3 linked regions of the Caenorhabditis elegans genome follow. The protein of the gene in region 2 purifies or fractionates together with the protein of the main gene of each other region. This does not show direct contact. Each region holds a gene or a part of one and is shown on either strand. Other genes may lie near its edges.

Region 1 (6,229 bases), on a different chromosome or scaffold from region 2:
GGTGGATTAAAGGAAATAATTTTTCAAAAGTTTAGTGGTTTATCGCGATCCCAAATTTCTGCCCGCTACTGAATTTAGAAATGAGACAAACTTAATTTTCAAATTAATTTTAATTTTTCAGGTAATAGAAAACGAGGATGTCTATGATCGACCTATCGCAAGATCAGTTTGCCTAGATTATGACGCAGTTATTACGAATGTCGAGAACCAAGAGGAGCTGGATGATATCAATGGTAAGTAGCTGCTCAATAAATAAGAGTATTGTTAATTAGAAAAATTATATGTAAAGTCCAACGGAACAATTTCCAGTTGACTAATATTTGCCTACAAGGTGACAGGCGCCTGCCTTTTGCATGCCCACTTACCTACTTTTCAATTGGCAGTTTAAATCTAATAGAAGGGTTTCGGTTGTGACGAAAATTTTTTTGTAGACATGCTGTTTTTCTACGTGGAATTTTTTCTAAATTTTACTGAAACTAAATACTTCAAATGACAAAAAAAGAAGACAGTAAGTAGGCCTGTAGGCAGACAAGTAGAATAGGGCCTACCCGCCCTTCTCGTCTCTTATTAAAAATACGATCGGCGTGATGCCATTTTACAAATTCTCGCAAGCTGAACAAACACCTGGAGGCAGCGATTAGCATTCGTACTATTTTGGAAAGCGAATTTTCTGGTTTTTTGAAAAATTTGGAAAATGTGAAAAAATAGAGCCGGCGGCTAAAACTTTTCTGAAAGTTATGTATTTACTAACATGCTTAAAGCCAATCACTGTTATCATTTATCAAACAAATTATGTAAATGCAACGTCATTGTTATTGAATGTAAATGCTAAAAGGCACAACAAAGCCGACAGAAACTGACAAACAACTTTTAGGCAAGTTAAAACTGAACACAAATTTCAGCTTTAATTCGAAAAAACAATAAACGAGTCGCAGTGGACGGAGTGTTCAATCCAAAATGCCGAGGTTTCAGCGACTGGCGAATGAGAAAGTTTGGAGGACTTTGCGCAAAAGAAAAAGAGGTTTTTGTTTCGAAAAGTGTGTTTCAAGTATCCCGATCGTTTTAGCTATTTATTCTGGAGGACGATCACACCGATCCAGCGTTCATTCTCACAAAGTGGTCTGGAGAACCGCCAACTTCATCAGACAAGTATCAGGAGAAGGGGGACTCTACGTAAGGAACCCAGTGGGATAAAAGCTTCATGTTCTAGTTTTCAGAGAAATTTTCACAATCGCTGAATGTCTATCTCTACATAATCTCCAGGCAATCAAGAATACTGGAAATTTGAAGGATTTTTTGTGAGTTTTTTTTTTGCAGGATTTTCAAACCCAAAACTAAAAAAATTTCAGGTGCGGCGAAGAACCAGACAAACAAGTCGGCGAGGTGCCATTCTTCGGAGTTCTGTGTGGATGTGCTCCAGTATAAAATTATTTAACTAGTGCCAAATGTATAAACAATTTTTGAATTTTTTGAAGATTTTTCAGAGAAATCTGTCCTCGAGGCACAATATAAATTGTTCTTACAATGTATGCCTAGTTTGAAAATGTATATCATGACTCGATTTTTTTTGTGTTATAAAAAATTTTCCCTCTAGAAAAAGTTGAAAAATAGGTAGAAAAATAAAATGCGTCATTTCCGCCCAGCCCCCGAGATACCGTATCATTTTGATGTATTCGGGGAATAATGGTTCCGCAGAAACGGAATCATTGAAGGGATGTACAGCTTTTTTATAGCTTTTGACTAGTACAAAAGCATACTGAAAGCTTCTTCTTGAACTCTTCATAACATGTTAGTTTTATTCTTACTATTCTTGGTTGTTCCGGCGGTTTCTGCAAAGGATCCAAGATGCCCAAAAAACTTTACTTTTGTCAAAAGAACACTAACTTTTAAGAATAATTTTACAAAGGGGTGGTGCTTGGGGGTACGTTATTGATAGAGACAGTACCCAGTTTTAAAATACACTTTCAAGATTTTCAATGGAACGGATGTGGGAAATCGTGACCGAGCCCGCTCAGTCTGTCTCTATCATAACGCTTCGCTGAGCAATCCAGAAAATTCACATGAACTTGAGATTGTTTCTGGTAAGTTGATCATGTTTTTTTTTAAAGACATGTCTTCAATTCAAAATCGCTAGGAAAAATATGCTTCTAAATGTGTAATTAATTTTTAGACGTTATTCGCGCACGGAACATTTCCCTCCCGATTGCACTCGACGGACAACTCTCTCCAAGATGCAAGGCCCTTATTTTCAGAGGCGAACAGAGCCAACAATATTTTGACCAAAGAACAGAGGAAGGAGATTGCAATATTAACAATCATTTGTTTGTATATGATGATATCAATACAGATACTTTATTTATCCGTTCCAAACTAGGTACTTCGGCTGGAACTAATGGAGGATACTCCAGTCAGGAGGACGGAGTAAAGTAAGTGTATGAAAATTTCTAGATTCAACGTCAAACAAGTCTAGAATTCAATTTACAGATTTCGTTTCACCAGAGATTGTAACGCATTAACAGATGCATACTATTACTTTTCTAATGGAACACATTTCTATGCGGTAGATGGACGAACTGAATTGCTCGGATGCTTTGGGGAAAAGGATAAGCAAAATAAACACGAATATAGTAGTGTTCTTTGTGGAAGATTCCCTCTCTGAGTTAATTGATCAGAAAAGACAGTTGTTAATAAATATTTTGGAGTTGTTGTTCGAATTCATCACTTGTGATTATATCAGAAAATACCAATTTTGCAACAAACATCAGTCGAGGATATGCATAATTTTCATAATAAGTATTTTTTGATAGCTAAAGATTGGAGCTAATCATATTTCAAAATTTACAGAGACAGGACTATTTTAAAAGTAAACTACCCTGTAACAAATCAAGAGTTTCGAAGCTTGAAATCAAAAAAAAACTTATTCTTGTAAATCATTTTATATTCTACCTCGGAAGCCGACAAAAGCTTGGTTTTAAAAAATCTAGCTTCAAAGTCTTGTTTTCAACCACAAATGTTTGTGTACATAAATTTTTGGATAGGTATCATAACAAGCAAGAGGGCCTTATGTTAGTCATAGGCTTGCACTCAGTTGCTCAATTTTGACGGCTAATAACTAGGTTGTGTTTTGTTTTACCAAAAATTATAAGCTGACAAAGAATGTGTTACAAATTTCTCTACAGTTTTGGTGTTAAATGTTTTTGATAAAAGGGCTGAAAATGAGGGTACTTTTGTTAGAATCTTTATTAGATCAGATATTTTTTTGTTTCAAAGCGCATGGTTTCAATATTCTTGACAACTTCTATCAACCTACGTGTTATATAAGAATTTCTTTGAATGAAATCATCCAACCTGATGAAGAAATATAATGCGTCGTTTCCGCTATCCAGCCCCGAGATACAGTATCATTTTGATGTATTCGGGGAATAATGGCTCCGCAGAATCGGAAACGCTACAGGGGGCGAACAACTGTTTTATAGCTTTTGACTAGTACAAAAGCATGCTGAAAGCCTTCTATGAAGTTCAGTATAAAATGTTAGTTCTATTCCTACTATTTTTGGCAGTCCCAGAATTTTCTGCGAAGGATCCAAGATGCCCGGGAAACTTTACGTATTTCAAGAGAACACCGACGGCAAAAAATAACTTTACAAAGGGATGGTGCTTGGGGGTAAGTTGTTCATATCAATGACACCTAAATAGTTTTAAAATGATATTTCAAGATTTTCAATGAAACGGATCTGGGAAATCGCGACCGAGCCCGTTCAGTATGTATCTATTACAATGCGTCGTTGAGTATTCCAGAAAATTCACACGAACTCGAAGTGATTTCTAGTAAGTTTTTGAGGATTTTTTTATTGCTGCATGCGGAAAAATGTAAAATTTCCAGAGACTGCTAGCTTGAGAAACATTTCCGTACCAATCGCTCTTGATGGACAACTCTCTCCAAGATGCAAATTCGCAATTTACAAAGGACAAGTAAAGGGTGCAAAACGATTTAATCAAACTTCTGAAGAAGGAATTTGCAATATTAAATATGAATTGTTCATATATGATGATATTAATACGGATACTTCATTCATTCGCACAAAGCTAGGTGTTTCGGCAGGATCAAACGTAAGAAGTGTACAAGCTGATGATGATATCGAGTAAGTTTTGAAAATCGACTTTCCTATTTGCATCCAACATTTCATTTTCAGGTATCGCAGTACAGCAGATTGTACCGTTTTGGAAAAAGGATCGTATCACTATTCTAATGGAACACTAAAAGATGGGCACACTAATTTGATGGATTGTATGGGACAGCTAGCTGGCTCCAAGAGGCTACCAGAAAAAAATGTCACCGCCGTTCTTTGTGGCCGATTGCCGTTCTAAGTAAATGTATTCTATCATTTCTGGAAAGATTAATTTTCAATATTTAATAAATATTATATTTCCGAAATCTTTCTGATATTTCTTATTACCTTAGCTGATTGAAAAGATAAGGTACACCCAATTTGTTTCCGCAAGTGAACTTCAGGTTATTCTTAGGCGACGAAAATCCCTGTGCGGGTTTACAATTAAATCATTTTCGCAACGAAACATTTCCTTTTACAGAGTTTTGACAAGTGTGTATACCATTTTTGTAAACTAAAAGTCAATTAATTCATCTTAACTTTCGTCTCGAACTTTTCGTTTTTAAGTTCCATCTTGTTGATAATACGGCCTAAAAATTGTAAAAAATTTCTCAAAGCTTCCTATTTTCTGTGTCAAGAAAAATCGGAGAGCTCTACATTATCTCTTTTTTGGCTTCCGGAAAACTTTTAGAGTAAATTTATAATGTATAATTTATGATAAACCTCAAGAAAATAGGTACAACAAGCATCTGCTACGTCCAAATCAAAATGTTTAGAAGAATAAATACTACGGTAGAGCATTTTGTGGGTGTTGTTGAACATCACGCTTTTGTTGAAACGATCAAATGCTGTCGGAAAATAATGGCTCCGCATGGCTTAGTCACAATTTTATCGATTTCAATAGGTACAAAACCCCGCCGAAACTTTTCAAAACTGACAGAAAAATGTTCGTTTTCTTTTTGCTATTTTTGACTGCGGTTTTCGCAAAGGATCCACAATGCCCAGAAGGGTTTTCTCATGTCAAGAGAGTCCCAACTGCAAGGAACAATCATACAAAGGACTGGTGTTTGGGCGTAAGTTCCAAGTTTTGGGTTTTGTGTTCATAATGCTTTATGACCATATTTCAGGTTTTCCAATTCAAGAACATGGGAAACCGAGACCGAGCTCGATCATTTTGCAGTTATGTGAACGCTTCATTGACCATTCCAGAAAATGAGCACGAGATTCAAGTGTTTTCTGGTAGGGATATTTTTCAATAAAAACATTTTCAGTGTTGTAATCTTCAAAAACTTTCAGAAATCGCCCGAGCTCATGGAATTGAAGCTCCTTATGCTGTTGACGGTCAAATTTCTCCAAAATGCAACGGTCGTATTAATAAAGTCGAAATCATACTTCGTCATCGATTCAACAGTACAGAAGAAAAAGGAGATTGTAATATCAAGAATAATCTATTTTTGTTCGATGATGTCAATAGTGACACTACATTCATGCTGAGCCATTACAAACGTCGACTTCCAGCTGCTTATATGGTTCATCAAGCTGACAATGGTCCAATGTAAATTAGACATAATTATCAAATAGCGTGAAATCATAAAAAATCAAATATTACAGATTCCGATTCGCCGCTGATTGCATTGTTCTAAAATCTGGAATTGTCAAGGCTAATGGCACAGAAACAAGAAAGAATTGGGGAAGTTTGGAGTTTTGTGTGGGAAAAAATGCAGTGCAGGCTTATACAGACGATGAAAAACCATATGGAAACGACGTGGAAGCAGTTTTGTGTGGAAGACATCCACTTTAATTGTTTTGAGAAACTTATAAGAAATGTGGGTCCTAGAAATGTGATGCACCTTGTCTTTAGTTTTGATTGAAAATTGTCAGCTGAAAAAATAAATTTCAATTTTTTCTATAGTTTTGTAACTTAGTATTAAAAAAATAACATTGAAATTCCCTACAAAACAGTGAAAACTGTAAAAAACAAAAGCGAATAAAAAAAATCTCGAGTCTCGTTTCCCCCATTATACATAAGTACATCAATCCCTATCCTTTCCAACATAGAAAAAAAACACGACACGGTCTATATGATGCGAATATTCGGTAATACGCGATTTAGAGATGAT
Region 2 (6,767 bases):
TGCGATCTCTAATTTGTTTGTGTTTTTTGTATTTGATAGAGTTAGTGTGACAGGCATATAGGCATGTAGGCATGTAGACATGTAGGCATGTAGGCATGTAGGCATGTAGGAATGTAGGCATGTAGGCATGTAGGCATGTAGGCATGTAGGCAAAAATATTTTTAAATAGCATTATTTGAAAAAAAAAACCAAATTATGTCATAACCGGTGCATTATTCGGTGTCGTTCTGCTCATCGAAGCCGGCACAACTTGCTTGCTATTCCTCAAAACTTTGCAGATAATCAGTGACTCAATGACAAAGCCCATGTGCTTCAATAAAGCACTCAACGGCCCGACAGTTCGAGAATTGATGTCCGGGAATCGGGCTGTGAGAAAAACCGGGAATAGATCAAATGAAAATATGATGAAGGAGTCGAGAAGCGTGATTTTTGTGGCCTAAATTGAATAATTTCAAAATTTTTTATCGGTCTCGACACGACAAATTTCTTTATTTCAAAAATTTTTTATCGTGTCGAGACCGTGCAACTCACTCTTGAAATAGCTGTATTAGTGGAACGTAGTATAAAATGATTCCATATGAAAAGTCGAAAAAATAAAATAAATGTCAACGTTCCAATGCAAAAATACATCGTCTAAAACGAAACGATCAAGCTGCTGATTTTGCAGTGCCGCACAGAAAAAGAGGCGGAGCGTCGTTTTGCAAACCTGCGGCAAGAAAATATGATTTTCCCTGAAAAGCAACAAATTCTAGTTTTCTCCAAAAAGTTTGCAAAACGCCGCTCCGCCCACGTCTAAACAGAAAGTCCCATTTCGCTTTGATCTACAAAAAATGCGGGAGAATGATACGTAGTGTTCTCAACTGATTTCGTATGGTTAAGAACGTGCTGACGTCACAATTTTTCTAGGAAAAAAATTCCCGCATTTTTTGTAGATCAAACCGCAATGAGACAGCCTGACACCACGTGTCCGCCTCTTTTTCTGTGCGGCACCACCACTGCAAATTGAAACCTGCGAAAAAGTTTTCCAATACTCGTGATAGCAAATATTAATTGCACACCGGAAAATGGCACAATCGGCGGGAACGTCTAGAACAAAATCGCAATATCCGAATAAAATATATTGCTCGAGAATTGTGTACGCGGAGATGAGGATGATAATCACGGCGAGCGGAATTTTGAATCGATGATTGTGATATGAAATCGGAGCGCATGTTGCGAAAATTCTATCGGATGTTATAAAAAATACAATCCAGCAGCGAATAGTTCCCAAGTTGAAGCCGGGCCAAGCGACGAAATATGCCAGGTTTTTCACAGAAAACTCGGGAAAAAGCGTTTTTATCAGGGAATAAATCAAAAATATTGATGCTGAAATTGTTTTTTTTTAATTCTTGTTTGTTGCCAATTTGCCGGAAATTTCAACTCCGGCAGTTTGCCGGTTTGCCGATTTGCCGGAAATCTTCAATTTCGGAAATTTGCCGGTTTGCCGGAAATCTTCAATTCCGGCAATTGGCCGATTTACCGGAAAATTCGATTCCAGCAATTGGCCGATTTACCGGAAATTTTCAATTCCGGCAATTCGCCGGTTTGCCGGAAAAGTTGTTTGCCGCCAACCCCTGACTGGGAATCCCGGTGCCAGGCTGTCCCATTTCGGTGTGATCTACAATAAATGCGGGAACTTTTTCGCCAGAAATATGTGACGTGAACATTGCCGGAATTGAAGATTTCCGGCAAATCGGCAAATTGCCGAAATTGAAATTTCCGGCAAATCGGCAAATTGGCGAAATTTAAATTTCCGGCAAACCGGCAAATTGCCGGAATTGAAAATTTCCGGCAAATCGGCAGATTGCTAAAATTGAATTTTCCGGCAAACCGGCAAATTGCCGGAATCGAAATTTCGGGTAAATCGGCAAATTGCCGGATTCGAAATTTCCGACAAACCGGCAAATTGCCGATAATTTTTCCGTTTTTTACGTATGACTGATAATTTGAACACTTACATTAAGATTTTACCATGTTTCAGGTTATAAGAAAATTTTATTTTTCAGATTTCCGATTTTTTCAATGAATTTCCTTTTTTTTCATCACTTTTTCTCGCTTCAAACATTGAAATTTCGATTTTTTCCGCAAAAAACTCGAGAAAAATGCGAACTCTCGTAAATCGACACACGCGGCGCGCTCCAATGAGAATGTCCCTGGCGCGCGTTTGAAAATGGTTTTGGGGAAAGAAACTCGCGATTTCGAGCAGAATCGGGCAAATTTGGAGAAATTTCCTAGATTCCGCTTAAAAATAACTCACTATCGAAAGAATAAATCACGTCGATTAGAAAACGGCAATAAATCAGTGATAATTCTGGCTTTTTCTGGATTTTCTTTCGTATAAATATTTGAGAAAGCAGGTAGAAATTCAGAAAAACGTTGATTTCGGTGAAAAAAATCGCTGAAATCGCTACCGACGTCACCAAAGAAGACATAAGGGAAGGAAGTTGTGACTTTTTTGTTTTCGACGAATTTTTTGGTTCAGCTTCCAGTCGAATGAACAATTTTGTAGTGCGAAGTACAAAAAAATGTCTGAAATTAATGAGATTTTGTTTGTCTTTTAGTTGCGACGACGATAAATATATTTTTATATTTTGAAGACGAGTCCAGAGGACGAGCGAGATGCAAAAAACACAGACCATGGGGGGGGGGGGGGGGAGAAAAATTCAAATAAAAATCAAATAATGGGTGAAAAACCGGGAGCAATCAAATAATTAGCGCATCTGAATGACTCCAGCGTCGCGGAGCTTCATGAGTTTCTGAAAGATCTCCGGATTCTTCAAGTGCTCTCGCACGGCTCCCGGGTCGTTGCTCATCTGCTCGAGAATCATACGCATTCCTGGGTCGCGGAGAATCTCCTGAACTTCTGGATCGGCGAGACTTCTCTCCTTGGCCTTCTCGGGATCCTCGTCGTTGCTTCGCAGACAGTTACGCACACCTTCACGGGCTTCTTCGTTGGATGGGTCGACTTGGAGAGCATCTTCGTAGGCTCGCTGAGCCTTCGACCACTCACGCATTGCGACGAGGCAAGCGGCTTTGCGGATGTATCCCTTGACTGAAATAATACAATTTTTAGTTAATTCTGAGCAAAAAAATTAGAAAATCGTACTAAATTTCGAGTCCAGCCGAATACAAGTGTCACAATCATCAAGAGCTCTCTGGAATTCCATCAATTTCGTCAGACACGCGGCCCGGTTTGAGTACAAAATCGCGTTCTCCGGATCACGCTTCACCGCTTCGTTGTAGTGCCTCATCGCTGTCGGATAGTCGCCCTTCTTGAAATACTCGTTTCCCTTGTTCTTCTCCTCCTGGGCAAGCTCTGGATTGATATAGGCAAGACGCTCGGCCGCCTTCAACTGCTTCTCGAGCTCCTTGACTTTCTTGACAAGCTCGGGGTCTCTGAACTCGGAGAGCGAGCGGTGGAACCATTGGACGGCTAAACTCAAGTCATTCTGCTTCTGGAAAGCGTTTCCGGCACGAGACATGGCCTTGGCGATAAGCTTGTAATCGGCACGGGTCTCGCGTCCAACTTCGACGGCTTTCTCGCAGAATTGCACACATTCCGCGAATTTTTTCTCCTCGAAATAGACGGCTGAAATTCGGAAAATTAGGGAAAATCTACAGTTTTTTTTAAATAAAAACCTACCGGCTTTGTTGTTGTAGAAGGTAATATTACTAGGATCAAGCTCGATCGCTTTGTCGTAGTGAACATGAGCTTTTTCAAAGTCCTTTTGCTTGTAGGCAGCATTTCCGAGATCTTTTTCAGCAATCGCCTGAAAATAGGGAATTTTAGTTGAATTTTATTGATTAATTGTTGAAAAACTTACGGCGTCCGTCATTTTTGCCGAAATATTGAAAAAATCTGAAAAAAAAATGAGATAAAAGTGAGCAGAAACGATGAAAAGAAGGAAATGAATCGAGAAAATGAGGAATTCTTCGAGAAAATTTGCCAATGGCAAACGCGCTCTATTGAGCGAGCGAGGCAGAGAGTGTGCGAAGGAGAGAGACGCAGAGAAAATAATCGCTTGGCGGGAGACGCTTGAATTTTAAATAATACCCGTTTCGTTTTAGATCGATTTTTATACATAAAAATATAGAAATTGATTAGGAAATTTAAAAAAGAAAAGTAAAGGCGCCCGGAATACCCAATGTGAACTGGATTTCACGATAAAAATACAGATACTCCGGAAAATAACGAGCATCGAGTCAAATTTTGAATTTTTCTGAATTTTGCTCCGAATTTTCCCGAAACTAAACAAAATTCTGACTTTTGTTATCATTAATTCGCGGAATAATGAATATTTTTGGTCAAAAATATGGTACCAGGTCTGGACGCGACTATTTTTGTTTAATGTAATCGGGTGTGCTCCTTTAAAGATTACTGTAGCGTCAAACTCTTGTTGTTGTGGAATTTTCATCGAGTTTTCATATTTTCGTCTCAACTGTTATTATTTAATAAAAAGACTTGAATAAAACAAATAAAAACACGTAAATTCTAAAAAAAAATCGATAAAAGTTCCGTACCAACAAAAGCTCGAAATTACAGTACTCTTTAAAGGCGCACACCTTTTCTCATTTGACAAAGGCTTGTCGTGTCGAGACCGGCTACCGTATTCTTGACGCAAAATGTTTACTTTAAAAGATAGAAAATGAGCCGTAATGACCGATTTATTGTATATACTTTGATGTGTGTAAATTTTCAGACATTTCTCTCGTGGTGTCATAATGTCCCATATCGTTGTGATCTACAAAAATTTTAAAATAATCAGATTCTTGCAAAGTGTAAAAACAAGTTTCGATTAAGTTATACAGTCCATTTTCTATCATTTAAATTGAATGTATTATTATTGAATAGTAACCAGTGCTACGGATGTGGGAAGTGTAGCATTTTTATTAGTGAATGGGCAACAATCTGGAAAATACACTCAACTTATTTGGCTGGCAACTTTTACTCACGAAATATTGCTTCACGGAAAGCCTTGATCACTAAAATTGTTGGAAGTGAGTCCAAGACTGGGTATAGAGCAACCGTCACACCAATTATCTCGCCAAACACTGGCCTTCCACAATGAAAAAAAGGCGCCAGAAATAGGACGAACGATGGCAACTGTATGAAAAACGCCGGGACAAGTGATTGCAACACCAAAGAATTTAAAAGTTGCAGTTGAATTGAACGGAATTTTTCGGAGTGGGAAGTCAGCTCGGTTAGCTTGGAGACCTCTTTGTAGCTTAAAGTTGCAAAAATGACAATCATTGCGAAGGAAATCGAGATCAGTGTCGATGCAATAGACATTCCCAACATTGTTCTCCAATTTATAACTTCATTTCTATTTTCATCAAGTTTCCAATAGTTGGGCCCAATATATGTTACGTCGGATATGTTTAACTTATTCTCGCGTAAATACCCATTCCTGAGAAGTTCAACAGAGTACAACAAGCATTTCATTTTACTCACCCCTGTAATATCTGTTCAGTATCCGTGTTGACCCATAGTGTACAATATAAATTGACTGCCCAGAGGAAACCGTAGATAACAGGAATCAAGAGCCAGATCAACGTTTTTCGGAGTGATTTTGTTTTAAGAAATGAATGGCTGAAAAAGGTTAACGTTTTAAAATTTTTATTATATTAATTCCACAATTTTCAAAATTTTTCTAGAAAGTTTTATTTTCTCAGAAATTGAATTTCTTGCCAAAATTTTTTCTCATAGTCAGAAAATTTGAATTCCCGCCAAAACGAATGGCTTTAGCCATGATAGGTCTCACCACGACTTTTCCTTTAAACTTCAGTGAATTTTTTCTAAACTATAGTAATCCTACAGTACCCTTACAGTACTGCGACCATCTAACCCCACTAAATCCAAACCAATATCCTCTCAAAAAACGAAAAGTCAGATATTCCAAGACTACAGTAATCCTACACTACCTCTACAGTACTGCGACAGTCTAACCCCAAGCCAATATTCTTCCTAAACACGAAAAGTCAATTTTTCCTAAACTACAGTACCCTTACAGTACCCCTACAGTACCCCTCAGATAGACTGGAGTCACGGCAGAGCGATAGAAAATCACTGCTAATTAGCATTTATGTCACGGCTTAGTCAACCGCAGTAATTGTGCTTTTCCGCTGATTAGCGGTGATGTTTTGCTACGTAGTTATGCTTTCTTGCTAGCTAGTTTTGCTTTCATATTGGATTAAACTTTTATAAAACCATAAAAAATAACACGATTTATTATGAAAATGAAACAAAATGAAAAAACAACAGAAAAAAAACATTTAACGAAAAATGGAAAAAAAAACAAAAAAACAAGTTTCGAAAGTATCAGAAAACAGGAGAACTAGTGAATTTATGGGGAGTCTGGGATATTTTCCCTTCCAGCAGATTTCGAAGTTGATAGAGAGTTCGAAGATGATTGAAAGTTCGAAGTTGATGGAACTTGCTCCTCATCGATATCCTCGCTGCTCTTGTAGAATTGTGTGCAATCGATGATGGGACGCTTTGGCAGCACAATTTTTGGTGGATTCTGGCCGTCGTGTTTTGTTCGATACAAACCACGGGCATGATCGCTGCAAAAAGACATTTGTGAAAACATAGTTTTTCAAGTTAAAGAAAAATTCTATTCGCTGGCTTTTTAAAGTAAATAACAAGAAACCTACAATCTGACTTTGATATGATGCTTGAACAGCATATTGACCACACTTGGAAGGCGAGTAACGTCCACCTGGTCGTT
Region 3 (7,093 bases), 2.0 Mb from region 2:
CCAGTTCCTATCCACGCTCGGAAAACTATTCCTGAAGAGGCTTCCTAAAAGAATTGCTTCGATTTTATTTTCAGAGACATTTACCGCATATACTGCAATTTTTGTACTAATTGTGTTCACATCCACGCCGTATTCTTCTTGAAAAGCTTGTCTCACGTAATTCCTTGATTCGTCGCTCGAATACATAGTTGGCTCGACTACAAACGTCCATAGACCGATATGGAATATCACAAGAAAAATCGATAATATCAGACCGTATGGCATGAAATAATGACTAACAAAACTTGTATTTTTCAGGACATTATAGCGAAAAATGAAATGAATGTTGAGGATTCCATAGGTTCCAGCAATAAACGCACATCGCAAGGATATTAAGGTAGGGGCAAAGTTGGAACGCTGAAAAAAGGAAAAAAGTATTCGAAAAAACTCAATTCAATTTTAACTATTTTAAAGGCTCGTAGTTGTGCTTCAAAAAGATTAATCACACAATACAAATTTTTTTTGGAAATGTTTGTTTTTTGTTGAAAAAAACTGTAACCTTTTTCAACAAAACCGGTCGAAATGTTTTAGTTTTTTTTTTAATTACTTGTTGTAGATTTTAATTATTCGGATAACAATTTATGTAAATATAATATTGTTTGAACTCGCAATTTGAATCTCTATCATTCAAGATATTACCTCTGAAAAAACACTATCTACAATGAAGAATACAGCCGCATAACGATAGCTATAAACACACTGAAAAAATTGAAAAGTTTGGATTTAAAAAATTGAAAAACTTACGGCTGGTATCAAAATATCCACAACTGATGCAGTAAGATTAAAAATTGCAAAAAAGTATAAAAGATAGCGATAATCACCGAATTGAATCACTTTTTCCGTACGTATCAGATATACGAATACAGGATTGGCTATGAAAGACAAGATAAACGTTATTTTGGGAATGATAAAGTGAGCCCAGTTGATAAACATGGAGTGCGTAGAATATTCACCGAAAGCAGCTTATATGTCAAATGACAAAATTTTGGTTCTGAGAAGAATGTGTTGATACGTGCCTAACAAAAGAGAATGTACCTAACATTAATCTCATTATACATACTAGGTTGTCTCATTTTTTGGCAAGTTTTCACAGACACCTTATTAGTTCCCACGATGACATGATGTAACAAGGACATAGCTCAAGCACGGAAAATTTCCAGTGAAGCGTGAGTAAGTAGCAGGTCAGTGAAATCTCTAGAAACTTTTCACACGCTTCGATACTTGAAAATTTTTTTTTTCGATTTTTGACAATTTTTCGAAATTGTTGAAATTACTGAAATCGGCAATGTTACCTGAATTGCCATAATTTTCAAAAATGCCGAAAATTTTCAAAAATCTTAAATTGCCAAGACTGCCCAAAATGTTAAAAAACTTCCGAAATTGCCAAAATTCATGATACTGCTGAAATTGGTGAAAGTTCTAAGTTTGTCCAAATTGCCCAAATATTTTAAAACTGCCAAAAAGTTTGAATTTGCGAACATTGAAAAAAATTGTCAGAAATCCTAGAGTTATCGAAATTACCAAAATTGACAACTTTGCCGATATGGATAAATTGTCAAAATTGCTGAAATTCGTGAAATTGCCAAAATTTTTCAAAATTGATGAATATGCCAAAATTGCCAAAATGGCTCTCACTAGCAAGATGCGCATCTGTTTCCCGAGTGAAAATAGTCAAGTTTTGTCCAAAAAAAACATATTTACTAAATATTTGTAAAAAAATCTTGCTTGGCAAATAAAACGAAAATTTAAAAAAAACTAATTAGACACACTTCCATGTGGAGACGTCACAGGTTCCACGATGATAGTCATTCTCCGTTGTGAAAATCGTTGTCCAGGGATCAGACTTTTAGTGAAATCTCTGTATGGTTTGTAAATAAAAAGGGTGCAACAGGTGCATAGAAGTCCGTGATTTGCCATAATTAGCATAGCGTTGTTGTTGTAGGCTGCAAAAGTTTGGAACGTGTTAGCCATGTTTTGGCTTTTTTAAATAATTTGCACTTTCTCACCTTGATTATAGTAATTCATTTTGTCTGCATACATAGTGTAGGCCACAGGAAATGCAATGGCAATCCATGGAATTGAGATCTAAAAAAACACATGCTAGAATTAAATGTTTAAAATTTTAAAAATTTTGTGGTTTTTCAATTTGTCAAAAACATTTTTAAATTTTTAAAATTGAAACAAACCCATTTAAATTTTTTTTGCATTTTTTTGCAGTTTCATTTGGCTATTCCAGTTAATTTTCAGTTATAGTTATACTCACCTGAATAGAAACATTCTTCAGAAACTTTCGCTGAAGATTCTTCGTCGCCGCCGATATTTTGGCACTTGATACTAGTGTGAGGTGATAAACGGTGTGTAACAAAAAGAAAAAAGTTTGGAAAATAACAAATCCAAAACCAATTGTGATTGACCAGAATGGCAAGACCTCTCCGCCCTGCAGCAGTACATAGGTTTTTGGGTCCCAGAATTCGCTCGTCGGACAGGGGATTCTCTGTAAAATTAAGTTGAATTTGAAGACGGGTGTTAAATACACACGACCGAAAAATATAATAAACACTTCAAAAGTTTTTAGTTATTCAAAAATTGACATTTTTGAAAAAAATTGAAAATTCCCGCAGATCTGAACTCCTAGAATGTTTCAATATTATTAATAAGAACGCAATTAATTCAAAAAAAATCTTTTGGTCGACTTCCAAAATTAGGATATGTGAAAACTGAGAGTTTTCACATTTTTGACTTTAAATATAAAATTTTATAAAATTTTTTGAACATTTCTAATATCTCTGAATGGGCATTTTAGTACATTTTACTAACCTCCAAGACCTTCTGTCTCATTTTCAATTGGTCAGTGTCGTCTAGATAAAATGGAAGCATAACAACAAATGTGAATAAATAGTTTAATGCGAAATATGTTAAACGAGTTTTTCTCCGTTTGATTTTGAATCGAATCGTGGAAATTTGACTATGTTGATTTTCATAGAGCATTATAAAACAGACACCCATCACTGAAAAACATGTGGTATTTGAAATTTATATTTAAATTTCCTAAAAGATCCTAAAACTTACTAGTGACGGAAACCTGTCCCCAATACGACTGCCACTTGACACCTACTCCCAAATATCCTAGAAGCCCAAGGGGTACTCCGGAGGCACTCGGAAAAAATATATACGGCCCCGAGTACACTGTGAACATCAAATCGAGATTTGTGCTCCAAGCCAGGGATATTAAAAGTGGGATTTTCATATTTTTCATCCGCTTTGGCGTCTTTGTTATAACTGTGTAAAATGTGAATATGGATAGAGGAACTGTTAAAAGTGCTGTGAAATGATATGCATTGCGCAGATAGTCTGCCGAGCCAAAATAGGAGTAGGTTTCCCGGCAGTTTGAGGTGTTGTTGTCTGGCCATGCCATTGGTTTCCTGGAAGATGTTTAATATAATAGGTTTCGATAGGAATTCCGAAAGTGTTCACAAGCTAAGCGTTACAAGAAAAATTCCTTAAAAAGCCAGAAAACCAGAGCCTAAAAGTTCAAAGCCCCATTTGCATGTAAAATGATCCGCGCGGTAGAGTTGGACGCGCCGAAAAATTCTTGATCGTTGATGTAATACCACCGTAATCCTGCTAATTTGATAATTTGAGGTGCGGAGTTTTCAATTTTTTTTTCTCGGAAATTTATTTTTCTAGGAGGCTCTGACTTGGAGTTTCGATGTAATGCTAAATGCTGTGTTAGTGATTAGGGACATTTAAAAAGGGAAATGTGTTTTGTGACAGATCAAATGATCATCTAGGTTGGCGATGCAAAACAATACGGCAAAAAAGTGTAAAAAACTGATGTCTTGCAGCGGACATTTCCCGGGTTAATTGGAAAGTAAATGGGACCCCACATCTTTCCTGATTTTTTGTCCGGAATAGAGGCTTTACCAGAAAAATCTTTACAATTAGTTCTTCAATTTTTACAGAAACCTTTTTATTTCAACATTTCAGAATCCTAGGTTCAACAGCTGGAAATTTATCAATTGGACAAAAACTTGGTTTTAATTCTATTCAAACAAGGGCCTATTCAAAAAAATTGAGCTTCTTATCCACCTAAAAGTAACGTTTGATCCAAATTATCGGGCTAAGAAAGGACTAAGAGTAGTCGGTGCTGAAGATGAAGTCAAAATTGAAAATCAAAGGTTTGGGGTACATGTCAAAAAAAACAATTGTAGGAATTGCTAGAAGAAACTCAGCGGATTCAGTTCGAATAGTTGTTTGAAAAAAGTAGATCCTCATAATTTGTTCGACTTCTAATTTGACCAGAAATCTACTACACCGCAGTAGAAATCAGGTATCCTGCTGTGTTTTGTCTGTGGCTTCTTAGCTGCCGAAGCGAGAAAAATGCAAACAAACTTCGAAAATGTCATAAATTTATGCTATTTTTGCAAACTTAGTGACGACCTAACAAATCTAGAAAAATTGAACTTTCTACCAAATCTAAGTAGATTTTTTTGGAAACCAATAGATTTAGTTATATTCCAAAAAACTACATACTTATGAAACTCAGAAGTAAAAGCTTTCAAAATGTGACTGAACTCGCCAAAAAGTTCAATAAAATGAGCCGCGCGGTAGTTGTTTCACGCCGATAAACATTTGATCGTTGATGTAATACATTTCCACAAACCTGCTAATTTGATCAATCGGGGTACACAAGTTTCCCAATTTCCTTATTTCTCAGAAATCGTTTCTCCAGAAGGTCGTGTTCAAGTACTTTTCTGACTTGAATTTTTGATTTATGGTTAATTGTAAATGTTTCGTGACCAGGAATCTTTCAGAGAAAAACTTCTTCTTCATCAAATTACATAATTAAATGTTATTTGAATATTTAAACAATCTGATACTTATTTTAAAAGTATGGTAAATTTTTGTAAAGTTTTTGAAAACCTCAGGGGTCCTGAAGCTGTTGTGTGGTCGATTTTTCAATTTTTGAGGTATCAGAATTTAATTATAGGTACGAAGTTTTTTTTTAAGAAAACCACTGTCTGGATAAAAAATTATTTTTCTGCAGTGTTCCTACATTTTTTGTACGAAAGTTTTCTGGCGCCAAAATGAAAGAATTTACATTTTTTAGATTTACCTTCCATTTGGTGTTTGCGAGTCATAAATCGAATTCCACTAAAATAACATTTGCACACAATTTAGCACAAAACTTTATAGCCGCTAATTAAATCTTGCAACTCATAGTTTGAGTCCAAAAATCTGCGAGGACATTGAGCCTTAGATATTTTAGTTTAACCGAAAAAAAAACTCAAAAACTAGCATTTGTCTACATGGTCAAAGTTCATCTCTCACAAAACCGAAAAAAAGTTTAATCTGTATTAATTTGTTTATCGAGAGATACCCTAATCGGCACGCGACCTCACAGTCTGGCGATCCTCCCATTTTCAACACTTGAACGAACAAATTACATTGCGGGCGTGCGCGGCAGTATATAAATTTTTGAGATTCACTTTTAGTGACCAAAATCTAGTACTTGTCAAAAATGGGTAGATTCTCTGATAAAGTTGCAATAATTACAGGTAAGGGTTTTTTTTAGAAAATGTAGTGAAATTTTTCATCCAGTACCTTCAGTCATTTTGTAAAATAGTCTGTTCAATTGGGGGAACATATTTGTTTGGAATTTATTAAGTTTAACTAGAGTAGCGTTGAAATACTGTAATGGTACTTTAGGGTTACTGTAGGATTACTGTAGGATTACTGTAGTTGAGTTAAGCTTTTGAAAATCTCTTTTTTTTATGTTTTGGCAGACCAATTTGGAGATAAAGTCTCTCAAAGTATAACGTTCAGGCTCATCTTCCGGAATTGGTCGCTCCACGGCAGTCCTCCTTGCTCAGGAGGGAGCTAAGGTTACGGTAACCGGAAGAAGCTCGGAAAAAATCCAGGAAACTGTGAATGAGATTCATAAAAACGGTGGCTCCAGTGACAACATCAACATTGTTCTCGGCGACTTGAATGAGAGCGAATGTCAAGATGAGCTCATCAAGAGCACTTTGAGCAGATTTGGTAAAATCGATATTTTGGTGAGATTTCTCGACTTTTTAAAATTTTTGACTGTTCCATTCAGATTAACAATGCTGGAGCGGCGTTTGCTGACCCATCTGGAAAAATTGGCTCCGAGGCGGCGATTGGCATTTTTGATGATATGATGAAGTTGAACTTGAGAAGGTATATTTTATTTACAGGGGATTTTTTTAATTGTAACTTATTTTAGTGTTGTGGAGCTTGTCAAAAAGTGTCGTCCGCACTTAATCGCTAGCAAAGGGGAAATCGTTAATGTTTCTTCAATTGCTGCTGGTCCACAACCGGTGAGTAAAAGCGGGCCAAAAGCGGGCCAAAAAACGGGCGGCAGAGGGCTAATAACAGGCAACACGATATTTTATCTAAAAATTCGATACAGTCGTCTGAAACAACTCCTCTACAACTTACAGTAACATCATTTTTTCAGTACATCTACTACACTTACTACGGAATCTGCAAGGCCGGCCTGGACCAGCTCACCAGGAGCTTAGCCTTGGAGCTGATTCCCTTCGATGTTCGTGTCAACTCCGTGAGCCCTGGACTCATATCAACCAACTTCCTGGGCGCTGTAGGTATGGGAGATGATGTGGTGAAAAAGACGGAGGAGTACTACTCCACTCACCGAGATTGTATTCCGGCTGGCCGTACTGGAAAACCTGAAGAAATCGCATCACTTATCGCGTTTTTGGCTGATCGGAAATCGAGTGCTTATATCATTGGACAATCCATTGTGATTGATGGAGGGACCACTTTGGTTTTGGGAATGCCAAGTCATGATTTGTCGAAAGCTTTGGCTTAAATTTTTGTTCATATTTTCCTTTTTTTTTTGATTTGGGAATAAATACAGACTACCTTAATTCAGAATGGTGCGTCGCATAAGGAAAGGCGCTTTTTTTCAGAGAAAAGTATTTTGGCAGAAAATTTAAAATATGGATGTGTCCGAAATCGTATAGAAAGTTCTAGTTCTTTTTTTAAATATTTAATGTTTTTCTTGCAA

The links. The genes of interacting proteins can lie anywhere in the genome.
Region 1: the proteins of sti-1 (region 2) and clec-137 fractionate together in Caenorhabditis elegans (co-fractionation; one large-scale study listed by BioGRID). This does not show direct contact.
Region 3: the proteins of sti-1 (region 2) and srh-56 fractionate together in Caenorhabditis elegans (co-fractionation; one large-scale study listed by BioGRID). This does not show direct contact.

What each region holds. Positions count from the first base shown.
Region 1 is NC_003280.10:4,615,358-4,621,586, reverse strand, and holds clec-137 (C-type LECtin), read left to right. Parts: upstream 1-3,496; coding exon 3,497-3,664; intron 3,665-3,716; coding exon 3,717-3,828; intron 3,829-3,883; coding exon 3,884-4,142; intron 4,143-4,193; coding exon 4,194-4,368; 3' UTR 4,369-4,435; downstream 4,436-6,229. Other genes in the region: clec-139 (C-type lectin domain-containing protein), read left to right, coding at 1-1, 122-233, 903-1,021, 1,067-1,173, 1,218-1,298, 1,350-1,425; clec-138 (C-type LECtin), read left to right, coding at 1,787-1,921, 1,970-2,081, 2,171-2,426, 2,485-2,659; clec-136 (C-type lectin domain-containing protein), read left to right, coding at 5,054-5,182, 5,237-5,348, 5,406-5,664, 5,721-5,910.
Region 2 is NC_003283.11:770,699-777,465, reverse strand, and holds sti-1 (Stress-induced-phosphoprotein 1), read right to left. Parts: upstream 3,949-6,767; 5' UTR 3,876-3,948; coding exon 3,864-3,875; intron 3,810-3,863; coding exon 3,683-3,809; intron 3,629-3,682; coding exon 3,146-3,628; intron 3,092-3,145; coding exon 2,751-3,091; 3' UTR 2,691-2,750; downstream 1-2,690. Other genes in the region: srbc-58 (Serpentine Receptor, class BC (Class B-like)), read right to left, coding at 194-436, 532-633, 1,010-1,365, 2,297-2,471; str-238 (Seven TM Receptor), read right to left, coding at 4,881-4,948, 4,993-5,447, 5,492-5,629. UniProt on the Caenorhabditis elegans protein: Plays a role in gonad development. Up-regulates longevity and thermotolerance. Binds daf-21/hsp90 and inhibits its ATPase activity.
Region 3 is NC_003283.11:2,768,221-2,775,313, reverse strand, and holds srh-56 (Serpentine Receptor, class H), read right to left. Parts: upstream 3,455-7,093; coding exon 3,109-3,454; intron 3,048-3,108; coding exon 2,857-3,047; intron 2,534-2,856; coding exon 2,303-2,533; intron 2,125-2,302; coding exon 2,046-2,124; intron 1,983-2,045; coding exon 1,795-1,982; downstream 1-1,794. Other genes in the region: srj-18 (Serpentine Receptor, class J), read right to left, coding at 1-44, 85-396, 679-738, 784-972; dhs-15 (DeHydrogenases, Short chain), read left to right, coding at 5,561-5,597, 5,866-6,098, 6,143-6,243, 6,290-6,383, 6,524-6,895.